Linked DNA regions of Cricetulus griseus. The protein of the gene in region 1 purifies or fractionates together with the protein of each later gene. This does not show direct contact. Links are inferred from orthologs where the notes say so. Each region holds a gene or a part of one and is shown in the gene's direction. Other genes may lie near its edges.

Region 1 (5,483 bases):
TGACCACTGAAGAGAGTCATTAAGGGCTCTTCTATAAAATCTAAATACTAAGGTTCAGTTCTAGGGTTTTTTAAAGAAGTGTTTTGAACTGCTATATGCTTACACACAACAGGGTTCATTATAGCCTTTCCACACATTCACATAATTTGTTTTGTTCATATTTACCCATCCTCATTACCTTCTCTTGTCCTTTCTCTTTTGCCTTTCTACATCCCCTTATCCTAAAATACATCTCTGTCACTCACAGTCTTCCAAACCATCTTTTTTTAGGAATGAATGAATCCCAAGTATGTATCTGTAGACGGGGTCTCTTCTCTGAGCTTGTTTATTGTGATGCTGGGAATCCGAATCAGGGCTTTGTACATGCCAAGCAAGTGTTCTAACACTGAGCTACATCCCCAGCCCTCTTCTCTGAGCTTTATATCTTCATATACAACTGCTTGCTCAACATCTCTTCTTGAGTGTTCTATAGGCACCTGACAGTGTGTTCCAAACTAAGCTCAACCCTGCCCATCCAACATGCTTTTCCTCTAGTGTTCTCCATATTCACATATGGAGCTCACTTTTACTCCATTACTCATGCTTGTCTGCTTCCCATTCACCCCACTTTATATGTAACTAATTACAAACTCTGACAATTCGTTTAAAATTATTAAGTGAACAGGCAAAAATATCTGTTGCCCAAGGAACTTTTATTTTAACAAAACATAATAATATCTTCTTCTCAGACAAGGTCTGGGCACCCTGGTGTGCAGTCATTAAAAAAAAGATTCAGTGCTGGAGGTTAGGGGCACACACCTTTAATCCCAGCACTCAGAAGGCAGAGGCAGGTGAATCTCTGTGCGTTCGAGGCCACCCTGGCCTACAGAGCGAGTTCCAGGACAGCCAGGGATACACAGAGAAACCCTGTCTCAAAAAAACAAAAAGATTCAGTGACTCTATTTTTTTTCTTTCTGTATCAAAGTGCAGTAACTTGAAAAAAAAAGGGGGGGGCTCTATGGTGTTCACAAATTACCTTAACAAGTACTTACTATTTGCTCTGAGTGAAGCACGGTAGCCAGATGCTGTCAATAACTGTAGGATTTATCCCACTAGCAAGCTAACACATTAGTTTAACACTGTTGTCTTCTGAATGCTGGTGCAAAACACCTGGATCAGAGACAAAGAGCTTTAATCTTCAAAGCAAACCACGTAGCCGGAGCCTGACCAACCTAATAATTTGTCCCCTACAACCAACCTCCCAGTGTCCTGTGGGCGGGTAAGGTGGATGCTACACATGCAATTACTTCCTGACACAACCGAGCAATTCAAGCTTAGGAAACCTCGGTCTTTTATAGTGGACTTCAAGTCAACATGTCCAGCTTTTGTTCCGGAGGGAAACATTATTTTGCTGTTAGGACAGGGTCTTGTGTCACCCTGCTGGCCCTGTATTCCCGATCGTCCAGGTGCCACCTCCCAAGTGATGGGATCACAGGTGTGCCTCATTATCTCATTACCTTTACTTTAGTTTTTCAGATTCAGTTTATTTAGGAAGAACCTCGATAGGCTCATCCGGCAATTTATCGTGTGATGAATACAATTTCTACGTAATGTGGCGCAGAAAACAGCCTTCCACGTCGTGTATGGTGGCTCCGGGACACATTTCATTCACCCGGGCATCACGCCCTGCTTGCCAGCTCTCGGGATGGGTGCCTCGGGGTCCACACGACTTTGGTTTCCTTCTGTGATCACCCCGGCTCACGTGGCAATTCCCAGACATCGGTACAGCATGCTCGGTAACCGCAATCGCTCGTCCCACTCTGCAGTCCGCAGTTCCCGGCAACCCTGCACTTCCGGTCCCGAGCTTCCGGCCTCGCCTAGGCGGCGCGGAGGACTGTGGGAGCGGCTTCCTTGGATTCGCGCCTGGCAACGGCTGGGCGTCCAGCTCTGGACTGCGGAGGCTCAGGCGTCGCGTCTTCCCCGTGCCCACTCGTGGTCAGCCCGCTCCCCTCGGCGCGAGGTAGGAGAAGGGCCCGGCCCTCGCGGCCGCCCGCCCTGCTGCCCTGCTGCCTGCCGGGTGCGTGAGCGACCGGCGGGGTCGCGAGGGAGGCGGGCTGGGGCGCCCAGCCCCGCTCCGGCGAATGCGCTTCCCGTAGCCATCACTTTGTTAGCGCTCCGGGCCAAAGTGACGCGGCTTGGCGATGCCACAGCACCCGTGAAACTTTGAGAGTTTCCCAGCGAGTATTGCTAATACTTGCATCCGGTCAACTTTGAAATTGCCTAGTAATCAGGACTGAAAGCACAAGTACAGAAAAGAATGCATAAAGCACAGTCTCACAAAGATAAAAACATATCCCCTAAGGGTTGGTTCTAGACACCCACTTTCCCGAGATACCAAACTTCCCAGGTGCTCATTCACGAATATAAGGTGTTATGGTATTTGCATTGTATCTAAACCGTTTTCCCACTTCGTCATCTTAGACTATTCATTGATGCATAAATAATGGTTAAGCCGAATTGTTCAGGGAATAGAGAAAAGGGGGGGGGGAGATAAAGTGTGTGTTTAGTAAAGATAAATCTTTCTCCCAAATATTTTCAATTTGCAGTTGGTTGAATCCAAGATGCAAAGATATAGATGGCTGAGTACTGTTTTTCCAAGATTTTTTTCTAATCATAAAATTTCACTTTGTTGTTGTTATTTTGTTTTGTTTTTTGAGACAGGGTTTCTCCTTGTAACAGCCCTGGCTTTCCTGGCACTCCTGTGGACCTATCCTGTAGACCAGGCTGGCCTCGAACTCACAGAGATCCGCCTGCCTCTGCCTCCCAAGTGCTGGTTAGCCACCACCCCAGCACTACTTTCCCTTTTTATAGACTTTTTATTTTCTACTCTGGTTATGCGCTTTAGCGAAACCACCATAGACACTTTGACTGTGGACTGTCTATCACAGTAGAAGTAAATAAAAAGAAAGAACTTCCCATGTAAAATGGTTTCACTGGCAATATTGAGATGACAGTATACCACGTTATTTTTGAAAGACCATGGAGAATTTAGAAACCCTGAGTTGTACTATTCATTAGCCACTCATGATTGTTAGTAAAGAGTAATTAATTAACTTAAATCTTTTCTAGTCTTCCACATCTTTAAATCTTCCACTATTGGTCTGTTCAGCTATCTGTGATGTTTCCCAGGGGTGGGTGGGTGGGTGGGTGTGTGTGTGTGTGTGTGTGTGTGTGTGTGTGTGTGTATTAAATCTGCTTGTGACCAGAAGAAAAGTCTCGTTCTAAAAGCTGATCTTTTCAGAGACTTACAGATAAACTAAATTGACATCAAAAGAGTTTGTAAGCAGAAAGTTCTTCAGCATGTGATTCTGAAAGTATGGTCCCTGGGCCAACAGCATCAGCACCACTTGGGAACTTGTTTGGAATCTAGGGCTTGAGAGATGGCTCAGTGGGTAAAGTGCTTGCTGCAAAAGGATGAGAACCTGTTGTGTAGTGGCTGGTGTGTGCTTATAATCTCAGCTTTGGAAGAGTGAAGACAAGAGGATTTGTGCTGCTCACTGGTCAGCTAGACTAGCTAAATATGAGCTCCATGTCCCAGTGAGAGATCTTGTCTCCAAAAACAAGGGTAGGCAGTGCCTGAACAGGATGACACCCTAGGGTGACCTCTTGCCACCACAGGCACACACATGCTTGTGTGTACACACACATGCAGGAGCAACCATACCCACACAAAGAAATTCATGTTCTGGCTGGATGGAATAACTCATATCTGTCACCCCAGCTCTTGGGAGGTAGAAGCAGGAGTTCAAGGCCAGACTTGGCTATGTAATGAGTTCAAGACCAGTGTAGGCTACATAAGACCCTATGTCAGAAACAATCCCCCACCCTAAAAATAAATAAATAAATAAATTTACATTTTGAGAGATCAAAGGATCTCCTTCACTCAAGATTTCTTGAATTGGAAGCATAGATGGCTGGGGAGCAGCTGTCTGAAATGAACAACTTTTAAGCTTCTGATGCATGCTCAGGTTTGAGAGCCACTGGTTTAGCACAGTATTTCCCTCTTATCTGTAGGGGATGTAGTCAAAGACCCCACATATCACACTGAACTCTTCAAGCACTTTTTTTTTTTCAGGACAATGTACCCTGTATAACAGCCCTGGCTGTCCTGGAACTCAATCTGTAGACCAGGCTGGCCTTGAATTCACAGAGATCCATCTGCCTTTACCTTCTGAATGCTGGGATCAAAGGTGTGGGCCACCATGCCAGGCCTTGCTGTTTTTAGTTTTTTCATATACATATATGCCTATGATAAAATTTAAATTATAAATTAGTCACTGTAAGAGATTAACAGTAATAATAAAATATAAATTATAATAACATACTGTGATGAAAGTAATATATATTCTGTTTCTCTAATTTTTTTTTTTTTTTTGCTGTTCTGTGTTCACACTTCTTTAATAAAGTATTTCAGTACTTAAAGAAAATACTTCCTGGGCTGAAGAGATGGCTCAGCTTTTAAAGGCTAGGCTCACAACCAAAAATAGAAGAAAATACTTCCTGCCTTTTCTTCGGCATGTTTGACTTGCCAATAGCTCTGTTCTTGTGCTTTCGGACCAATGATAAAGAAAATAACAAGAACTGTAACACCACAACAGTTAACCTGATAACTGAGATAGCTGCTACGTGACTAATGGGCAGGTAGCCTATACAGTGTGTATACAATGGAAAAGGGAATGATTAACATCCCAAGTGGCATTGATTAGGATGTTGTAATATTTTATCACTCTGCTCAGAAAATCGGCAGCTATTCCAGAAGCTAACACAGAGTTCCTGTGTGACCCAGCAATTCCAAACCTAGGTATATACCCAGTAGAATTGGGCATGCATTCAGCAAGGGCTGAGAGATGATGGCTCTGTAGTTACAAGCACTTGATGCCTTCCCATAGGACCTGAGTTCAGTTTCCAGCACCCATGTTGGCCAGTTCCCAACACAGACACATAAACTTAAAAAGAAAGTGCATTCATGCAAAAACTTGTATGTAAACATTCATCACAGGGTTATTCATAAAAGCTCAAAAGTAGAGCCAACCCATTGTTCATTAACTAATGAATAGAGAAGCCAAATGCTGTAAATTTATTACTGAGCCATGAAAAAGAATGCAGTATAGTGAAACTGTATCCTGAACCCTGAAAACATGCTAAATAAAAGAATCTAGACATAACTGCTACATACTGTATGGTTTCATGCACGTGAAATGTCTGGAATTGGCTCATCCATAAAGGCAGGCAATTGTTTAGTGGCTTTCAGGGTCTGGGCAAAGGAGGAATGGGGAATAATTGCTGAAGAGCCTCAGGATTTTGTTTTTATAGGATGAATAAAATGTTCTGGAGTTAGATAGCAGTGACGGCTGTACACCCTTTGAATATACTGAAACCCAATGAATGATACACTTTACTTACTGAGATATAAGCTAGCTTCTAACTTGCTATGTAGCTGAGAC
Region 2 (4,264 bases), on another chromosome or scaffold:
AGACCAGGGCCTCAAACTCACAGAGATCTGCTCTGCTTCCCAAGTGCTGGATTAAAGACATATGCTACCATTTCCCACCAGCATGCATATATTTCTATGCAACATGTGTGTACCTTGTGTCCATGGAGGCTAGACCATGACATTGCATCCCCTGAAACTGGTATATATAGTTGTGAGCTGCCATGTGGGTGCTGGGAATCGAACCCAGATCTTTAACAATGCTCTTAACCACTGAGCTATCTCTCCAGACCCTAAAAGCTACTTTTAAAGGAGGCTAATTTACCACCTGGCAGGGAGGGCATGTTACAGGCTACAGGCCACAGAGACAAAAATAAGGACCCTGTCCCAACTGTCTCTGCAAGTGCAGACACCACCAGACCCTCTCATAGGGACTTAGGAGAGTAGGATGGAGCGTAGCCAGACAGAAACAAACAAACAAAAAGGTGTGCAGTGGTGGTGCACACCTTTGATCCCAGCACTCAGGAGACAGGTGGATCTCTGTGAGTTAAAGGCCAATAGGAGCTCCTCATCCTGGACTAGAATATGTATAGTCATTGCACTTAACTCACAGGGAGGAGTATTGTGGACGAACCAGACACCCTATGAAGGAGGTATCACTGAGCAAAAATGGGAAGTCCTTACTCTCCAGAGCTGTGTGTGTGAATCCAGGCTCAGGGTTGAGTATCTACTTTATTCTTGTGATATTTTACAGCCCTTACTCTGAGCATTTTTACAAATTAGATGCTAAGTTTCTCTATGAATACCATGAGCCTATAAAGTTTGTCTTCCCTACTTCATCTTTTCCTACTCCCTAAATAATCTCAAGTTGTTACCCCTTTTCCAGTATTTATTCTTTTAGTTATATTTGTGTATCTGTGCATGTGAGTACTGTACCCATGGAGGCCAGGAGAGATCAGACCCCCTGGAGCTGGCATTATAGGAGGGAGGTTGTGAGCTGTCTTTTGTAGGTGTTGGGAGCTAAATTCTGGTCCTCTGTAAGAGCAGTATGTGCTCTTAGCCACGGAGCTTTCTCTTCTACTTTCTATGATTTATTTTACCCTTAATTATGCATAAATGTGTGTAGGTCAGGCATGTGGGGAAGAGGAGTGTTGGTATGTGAATATGAATGCAGGTGCCTTCAGCATCTAGAAGGATCCCCTGAAATTGGAGCCCAGGCAGTTTTGAACCACCTGACATGGGTTCTGGGAATCAAATTTGGGTGCTCTTTAACTGCTGAACCATCTCTCCAGCCCCACCACCTTTTCCTAAATTTAGGGAGTGAGGCTTCTGGATAAAGTTTATGCAAAACTTCCAAAATCAAGTAAAGGTTCCTAACTATAAGTCGAGTCGAATTGTACCCTGTTTCTAGTAGAGAACTATGGTTGAAGAAAGTGGGGGTCTGCTTAGCAGGAGAAGGTTCTCAGGCCTTTAGGGATGGTGCCACCTTTCTAGTGACTAGGTGGCAGAGGTCTGGGCATTATGAGAAGAGTGCACAGTCAGGCTTAGGAATTAAGTTTCTCTTTATATAAACATTTCTTCCCTGCCTGCCCTGCCCAGGAGAAGAAGAAGCCCTCACAGTTGACACCGCAGCGGGGTTTCAGTGAAAACGATGATGACGATGATGATGACTCGTCTGAGACTGATTCTGATGACGACGATGATGATGAAGAGCATGGAGCACCTCTGGAAGGGTAGGAAGGACCCTGTGCCAAGGGCATTTTGTTCAGGAGGCAGTTTGAAGGACTAATTTGGGAATAGATGGCAGCATCTTTTGATATCCTCTACTTGGGTTTTCTCATATCTCAGGAGCCCAGCATTGTGAGTTTTCATTTCTTTCTGGCTCTATTGACTCATCTGCTCCTGTGATGTCACTTAAACTATCGGAATATTTGTGGGCTCAGCAAATACACGGGGTTAACCTAAATCATGGCCCCTGTCTTCCAGGAGCTCCCAGTTTGGGAAATAAGTACATTTGTGCATATGCCAAAGCATTTCTGTCTAGTGGGGCAAACTCCATGCACATAAGCGTTTCCATTTTAGGCTGAGATGCTTCCTGAACAAGAGAGAAGAGCTTCAGGGGCCTCACACTTGGGTGATGCTAAGTAAACAGCAACAAAAAACATTTTACTCTGTTGCAGCCCCATTGTCACAGTGCATCATGATTCACTCCTATAAGTTATAACCAACATGTATTCTGAATACCATCCATTTATACTGGGGATATAGCTCAGTGGTCACGTATTTACCTATATATGTGAGGCCCTGGGTTCAATCCCCAGAACTGAAAGAACAAAACAAAACAAACAAAAAAACATATAAAATACTGTTACTAGCCAAGTGTAATGGTACATACCCGAAGTCTCAGCTACTTGGAAGGCTGAACCAAGAGGATCTCTTGAATCCAGGAGCTTAAGGCCAACTTGGGAAACATAGCGAGGCTTCATCTTAAACAGAAAAGTATAACAAAAATTAATTTAAAAGTTAATTATATAAAACTACCAGTGAACTAAATGATGAAATAACCAATCAAAATTTTGTCTACTTGTTGAAAGTATATGATGTAGCCAAGTGGGTGGCACATGCCTTTAATCGTAGCACTCAGGAGGCAGAGGCAGGCAAATCTCTGAGTTCAAGGCTGGCCTGGTCTACATAGTGAATTCCAGGAGAGCCAGGGATATGTAGAGAGACCCTCTCTCAAAAAGCAAACAAAGAAGAAAGTATATTGTGGTGGGGGGACAGAGAGATGGCTCAGAGGTTAAGAGCACTTGTTACTCTTGCAGAGGACCCAGATTCGGATCTCAGCACCCACACGGTGGCTCACAGCCATCTGTGTCTCCAGTTCCAGCTGATCCAGTGCCCTCTTCTGATGCCTGCATATGATCTATATGCAGGCAAAGCAATCATACACAGAAAACATTTTTTTTTTAAAGTATATAATGTCTATCTGTACTAATAAAGGCCAGCGTATGAATCAGGGAAAGTGGCTCAGACCTGTAATCCCAGCATTCAGAAGACAGGCAGGAGGATTGATGCAAGTTTGAGGCCAGCCTGGTTACATAGTGAGACCCTGACATTTACAGAACTTCTGCTGTGTAGCATTAATCCTGCCCATTGTCAGAGCTTTACCCCAGGAAGCACAGCTTCCCCTGTTCCTCCTGTCTGTGTCTCTGGTGTACTGGCTTGCTTTCCAGATACTGGGCTTTCTCACTTGTTATCTAAAGACACCCCCCTGCCACCGCCCCTAATGCAGCCTCTTGATGACCTCCATTTTGAATATGCCTGTTTTCTTGGGCCCTAACTCAAGACACGACCTTCTCTTTCCCTCTTCATTTCCCTCCTGGTAACTGCCAGTATCCATAGCTAATGCCCTGTTGTTTTTCTCTCAAATTCTAATAAAATGGTTCTTAAGCAGCTTTTAAGTAAGATGTTGAATTTTAAAGTGTATTCATGCTGTGTTGTTCTGTATATGTGGGAAACACTGTCTCTGGAAGGAGGCTGTGCCAGAGACACAGAGAACAACTGTGGCAAGCCATAAGAGAAACAACTTTTACTATATGCATTATAAGTTACTTTGTTTGTTATGTAGCTCAGGCTAGAATGTGTAGTCCTCATACCTGAACCTCTTGAATGCTGGGATTACAGGCATGAACCATCATTTGTTATAGTTTATTATTATTTATATTTTTGGCCCTTGAGGGTTGTTGTTGTTGTTATTATTATTATTATTATTATTTGGTATGAGTGAGTGTGTGTGTGTGTGTGTGTGTGTGTGAGAGAGAGAGAGAGAGAGAGAGAGAGAGAGAGAATATGGAATATGGAGGACAGCTTAAGGGAGTTGGTTCCCCTTCTACCATATGGGTTTCAGGGATTGAATTTAGATCTTCAGGCTTGGTTGCAGGAGTTTTTACCCTCTGAGCCAAAACAAAATGTACAAAAAAGCGCTGGAACAATGGTTAGAAGTGCTTCCTGCTCTTCCAGAGGACCTGAGTTTGGTTCCCAGCAACTATGCCAGCTGGCTTAAAACCATCTGTTAACCCCACTTCCAGGGGATCCAGTGCCCTCTCCTGGCCTTTGCAGTGTGCATGCATGTGTGTGCACCGCCCCCCCACAATCTTTTTAAAAATGTATAGAATATATTTAGTGATGTTGGACACAGTGGCACAGACCTGTAATTCCAACACTCAGGGGGCTGAAACCAGAGTATTGCAGGCCTGTGACCTGCATGAGCTACATACACAAGAAGGCCCTATCTCAAAGAGTCCCA
Region 3 (4,264 bases), on another chromosome or scaffold:
GTGATAGAATGATGTAGTAATGGAACTTTATACTTTACAATATATTATACTATACAATATACTTTAATGATGGAACTATAGAGGTTGGATTTACAGTCAGTAGGGGGCTGCTGAAGGCTTTTAGGTGGGAGTGACATCAGTTTTGTTTCAGCATTTTAGAAGAGGGTATCTGTCAGTAGTTTAAAAAAAGTACTAAAGTTGGGGAGATCATAGGTAGAACTAAGTTAGAAAGGGATTTGAAAATAAAACAGTAGATATTTTTAATATTTATTCATTAGAATATCATGGTTAGTTTTTATATCTGTCTATTCCTTTTATTCCTTTAAAATTAACATTAGGAATCCAGAAACCTTCTGGACCACCACAGGCATGTTTCCCCAGGAGTTCATTATTTGTTTTCACAAACACGTGAAGATTGAAAAGCTCGTGATCCAAAGTTACTTAGGTAAGCCAATCACACACTAACCTTTTATTATTCTTGAGTTTTTCCATAGACAGAGGACACATGTCAACTTTTGGCAAAGAACTAGTTGTGTTTTTTTTTTTTTTTTTTTTACAGCATGGGACCCTGTTTTATTGCTGAAAAGGAAGGTGGAGAGTATTGGGTTAACTGTCTTCAGCACAATTAGCCTCTCTTAAACTGTAAATTTGAAACCCTTCCAAAGCACATCATAATTTCCATGCAGTTTACTGTGTGAAAGTCTTTGGCAGAAGATTCAATTAGGATGTAAGAAGAAGCTGGCTTGCCAGAATGCTAGGTCCTATGACATCTTCATTCTGGGTTCATTTAGCCTGTAGTTCTCAGATTCTTTCTGTAAATCTGATAACCCCTATTATTCCCACTGGATAGTTTTGATTCTTCTATTGCTAATGATATTTTCTGGGGATTAGGAATGGAATCTCCCTTTGGAACATCAAGTCCTGTCTGTGATAAAGTGTATCAGACAGAATCATGGCAGGAAACAGAATAGATCCCAGATGTTTCAAATGAAGAGACGTTATTAATAGATCTACTTATAAAATTCTGGCCTGAGCTGCAGGAATGAATAAGGGATAATAGCTCTCAGAAACTAGCTACAGCAGAGAGAGTCCTGTCCTGGGACAAGGAGAGGAAAGTGTCACCAGAGCCCAGGGAGATTTCGGGGCTGTACAGGGGGATCTGGCTAGCAGGAGCCTTATGGTTTTGAAGGGACAGGACCACTATCAAAGACATGGCATGAAGCAGGGCAGAGTGTAAATAAAATATCCAGCTCACTTTCTGCCCTACAGTCTTCTGGTGCCTGCTACTAGCCAGCTCCAAAGAAAGCTAGTTGTTCTAGGAGATGCAATCTATAGAAGCAAGCCCCTCCATAATAAGAAATAGAAGGGGAAGGATGGCTGGGGGGTCATGTGGGGAGCTTCTTCTGTCATGAATTGTGGAGGCCCTAGAGTGGACAAGCCTCATGTATGAACTCCTGTTCTGCATTTCCCAGCTTTAGTCCATTGGACACCTTGCCTAGCTTCTGTAAACCTGTGTCCTCATCAGGGAAGTGGGTTAGTAATACCTTTCTCATAAAGACTTCAGCCAAGAGAGAATGAACAAAGACGTCTGACCCAGCATGTTCTCCATAAAGGGTTAGGACCATGGCTACCAGAAGTATCACAACCAGTATATAAACACTCCAGATAATAACCAGATTCAGAAAAGCTCTATTAGATTTGTGCTCTGAGTGATAAACAGTGGCAAGATTGCCATTGGACAGTGTTACATTTTGCCATAGGGACTTAGGGAAAAACAGTCATAGCTTCCAGGATGTGTTATTCCTGTTCCAAGCACTTTGTGTGGTACCCATCAATCTATGGCAGTCAAGTAGTAGGGAAAAGAAAAACAGAAACAACAAAACAGAATTAAAAAGCTAATTAATATTTATTTATTCTGTTTATAATGCCAGTGCGGACCTTGAGGATTGAAAAGACTGCATCTAAAGAGCCATTCGATTTTGAGCAGTGGGTGGAAAAAGGTGTGTATGATGCCAGTACTTTTCTGAGCATGAGGGAGTAGATGGCTGGCCTCTGACTCTGTGATATCAGTCCAACTGCATTTTGGTAAATAAAAGGTTATTTTAATGATTCTTTAACACAGATAAGGCCTAGAAAAACACACATTTGTAGTCTTCATGTACTGTTTATAAAACAATTAACATTTTTGCTGGGCGTTGGTGGCGCCTGCCTTTAATACCAATACTCAGGAGGCAGAGGCAGTTGGATCTCCATGAGTTCGAAGTCAGCCTGGTCTACAGAGCGAGCTCCAGGACAGGCTCCAAAGCAATACAGAGAAACCCTGTCTTGAAAAAACAAAACAAAGCAAAAATTAGCATTTTCAAAATTTAGGTTATCAAAAAAAGAGATGACACATTTGAGGCTTTTATGATAAGCAAAAAATATTCATTTTGTACTTTTCTTTCCTGATTAATGATGCTGTTTATTTAAACTGAGCTGGGCATGGTGGCACATGTCCTCAATCCCAAGATTCAGAAAGTAGAGGCAGGGGGAATCTCTGAGTTTGATCTACATACATCTTTCTAGGCCATCCAGCATGACATAGTGAGTCCCTATTTCAAAACAAAAAAAAAGTTTTTTTGATAAACATCATCAACTAAATTACTATCTTCCATTTAAGTACAAACATACATAATGTGTCTATCTCCTTTTCTTAGCAAATACCATGAAAACAGTAGAATAAAAACACATAAAACTATAGTGAGAAAAGAAAACATAAACCTAGTGAACCAGGCAAATGTAGATCAATAGTTTTTATTGCCAGAGGGACAGCCATAACTTCTAGAACACAGCAGATTAGGTTGTAACCTAGTGCCTTCCAAGGAAAGTATCATGAAGTAAGCTAATTTATTACATGGAACCCCAGGAAGGCCTAAATGTGAGAGCAGCAGGTGATGTGGAAAGTATGAATGAGACTAGTTCATAGTTGGTTTCTTATTTTAGCATTGTACTGTCCATGTAGTTAGACCAGGAAGTGGACATGTGGTCTACTTACCACAATATAAACTTAACTTACATGTAAGTAAGAAAGAGAGTATAAACATATTAAATTCCAGAAAAAAAACACAAATTTATTTAATGTATATGGATGTTTTGTTTGCATGTATATCTGTGCACCATGCCTGGTGTCCACAGAGGCCAGAAGGTAGGCATCAGATCCCCTGGGACTGTAGTTATAGACAGTTGTGAGTTACCATGTGGGTTCTGGGAAGGGAACCCAGGTCCTCTAGAAGAAGAGTCAGTGCTCTTAACCACTGAGCCATCTTGGAGGACCCCCACCCTCCACCTCCCACCACCACTTTTTGTACAGGTTTTTATTCCATGTAGCCCAGGCTGGTCTGGAATTTATTATAATCAGTCCTTCTGCCTCAGTCTCCTGAATACTGGGATTTCTGGTGTACACCACAATTCCGGGCTACAAAGTGGAACACATTCACTGCTAGGGAGCATAACCAGAGGAGTAGGCACAGGAAAGCAGGGATAATAGTTTTTTTATTATCTAAGGAAAGCATTAAGGAGCAGGAAAAAAGCCTCCAGGATCTTACTTCCCAAAGTCTTCTCCTTTGGTCCTGGGTAGCTTTTGAAATTCTGTACATTATTTGGTACAAATGAATGTCAAAAGATATTATTATATTAACTAAATAGTTCACATTTCTGAACAATTACTCCTGGCTAAGTAAACTATTCCAGGAGTATGTTACTAAACTTGAGTACCAGAAGAGATCATGTCACAGGCTGTTCTACATCACAGTGAAATTTTCCTGTGGGTAAAGTCTGAAATTACTAGGAGCTCGATTAATAAGGGGAAGGAGTCTGCATTTTACCAGTTTCCTGCTGTATATTTCTTTAGTATGATTTACATTTGCATTTCTGTTGTAAACTCACTAGAGGTATTTTACAGCTCATTCATTTTTTAAAGTCAAATGTCTTATATCAAATCAACCCCCAAATAATGGTAATTCCTTTAAATCTGGCTTTAACATATAGTTTGCCAAATAATCACTTTTTGTTGGGCACAAATTTCTGTAGCTATCCTCATATTTTTGAACCTTAATCTATTTCTATTAAATTTGTGTCTTAGATTTAATACACACAGAGGGGCAGCTTCAAAACGAAGAAATTGTGGTAAGTATACATACTTTGTAGAGATAAGATTTCTTCAGTGAGCCCAATTTAGATTTTAAACTTTCCTAGTATGAATTATTCATGATGAATATCCTCATGG

Evidence for each region. Proteins that work in one complex are often made in the same cells at the same time.
Region 2: the proteins of Ift88 (region 1) and Ift46 purify together in Homo sapiens (affinity purification with mass spectrometry; 3 studies listed by BioGRID and IntAct, with this or other methods). This does not show direct contact. The link is inferred for Cricetulus griseus from reciprocal best matches to the Homo sapiens genes IFT88 and IFT46.
Region 3: the proteins of Ift88 (region 1) and Hspb11 purify together in Homo sapiens (affinity purification with mass spectrometry; 3 studies listed by BioGRID and IntAct, with this or other methods). This does not show direct contact. The link is inferred for Cricetulus griseus from reciprocal best matches to the Homo sapiens genes IFT88 and IFT25.

What each region holds. Positions count from the first base shown.
Region 1 is NW_023276807.1:212,488,829-212,494,311, forward strand, and holds the start of Ift88 (intraflagellar transport protein 88 homolog), read left to right. Parts: upstream 1-1,845; 5' UTR 1,846-1,999; intron 2,000-5,483. UniProt on the Homo sapiens protein: Positively regulates primary cilium biogenesis. Also involved in autophagy since it is required for trafficking of ATG16L and the expansion of the autophagic compartment.
Region 2 is NC_048597.1:156,455,796-156,460,059, forward strand, and holds part of Ift46 (intraflagellar transport protein 46 homolog), read left to right. Parts: intron 1-1,557; coding exon 1,558-1,691; exon of another isoform or gene 1,692-2,409; coding exon of another isoform or gene 2,410-2,444; intron 2,445-4,264. UniProt on the Homo sapiens protein: Forms part of a complex involved in intraflagellar transport (IFT), the bi-directional movement of particles required for the assembly, maintenance and functioning of primary cilia. May play a role in chondrocyte maturation and skeletogenesis.
Region 3 is NC_048595.1:42,542,123-42,546,386, reverse strand, and holds part of Hspb11 (intraflagellar transport protein 25 homolog), read left to right. Parts: intron 1-338; coding exon 339-445; intron 446-1,931; coding exon 1,932-2,000; intron 2,001-4,120; coding exon 4,121-4,164; intron 4,165-4,264. UniProt on the Homo sapiens protein: Component of the IFT complex B required for sonic hedgehog/SHH signaling.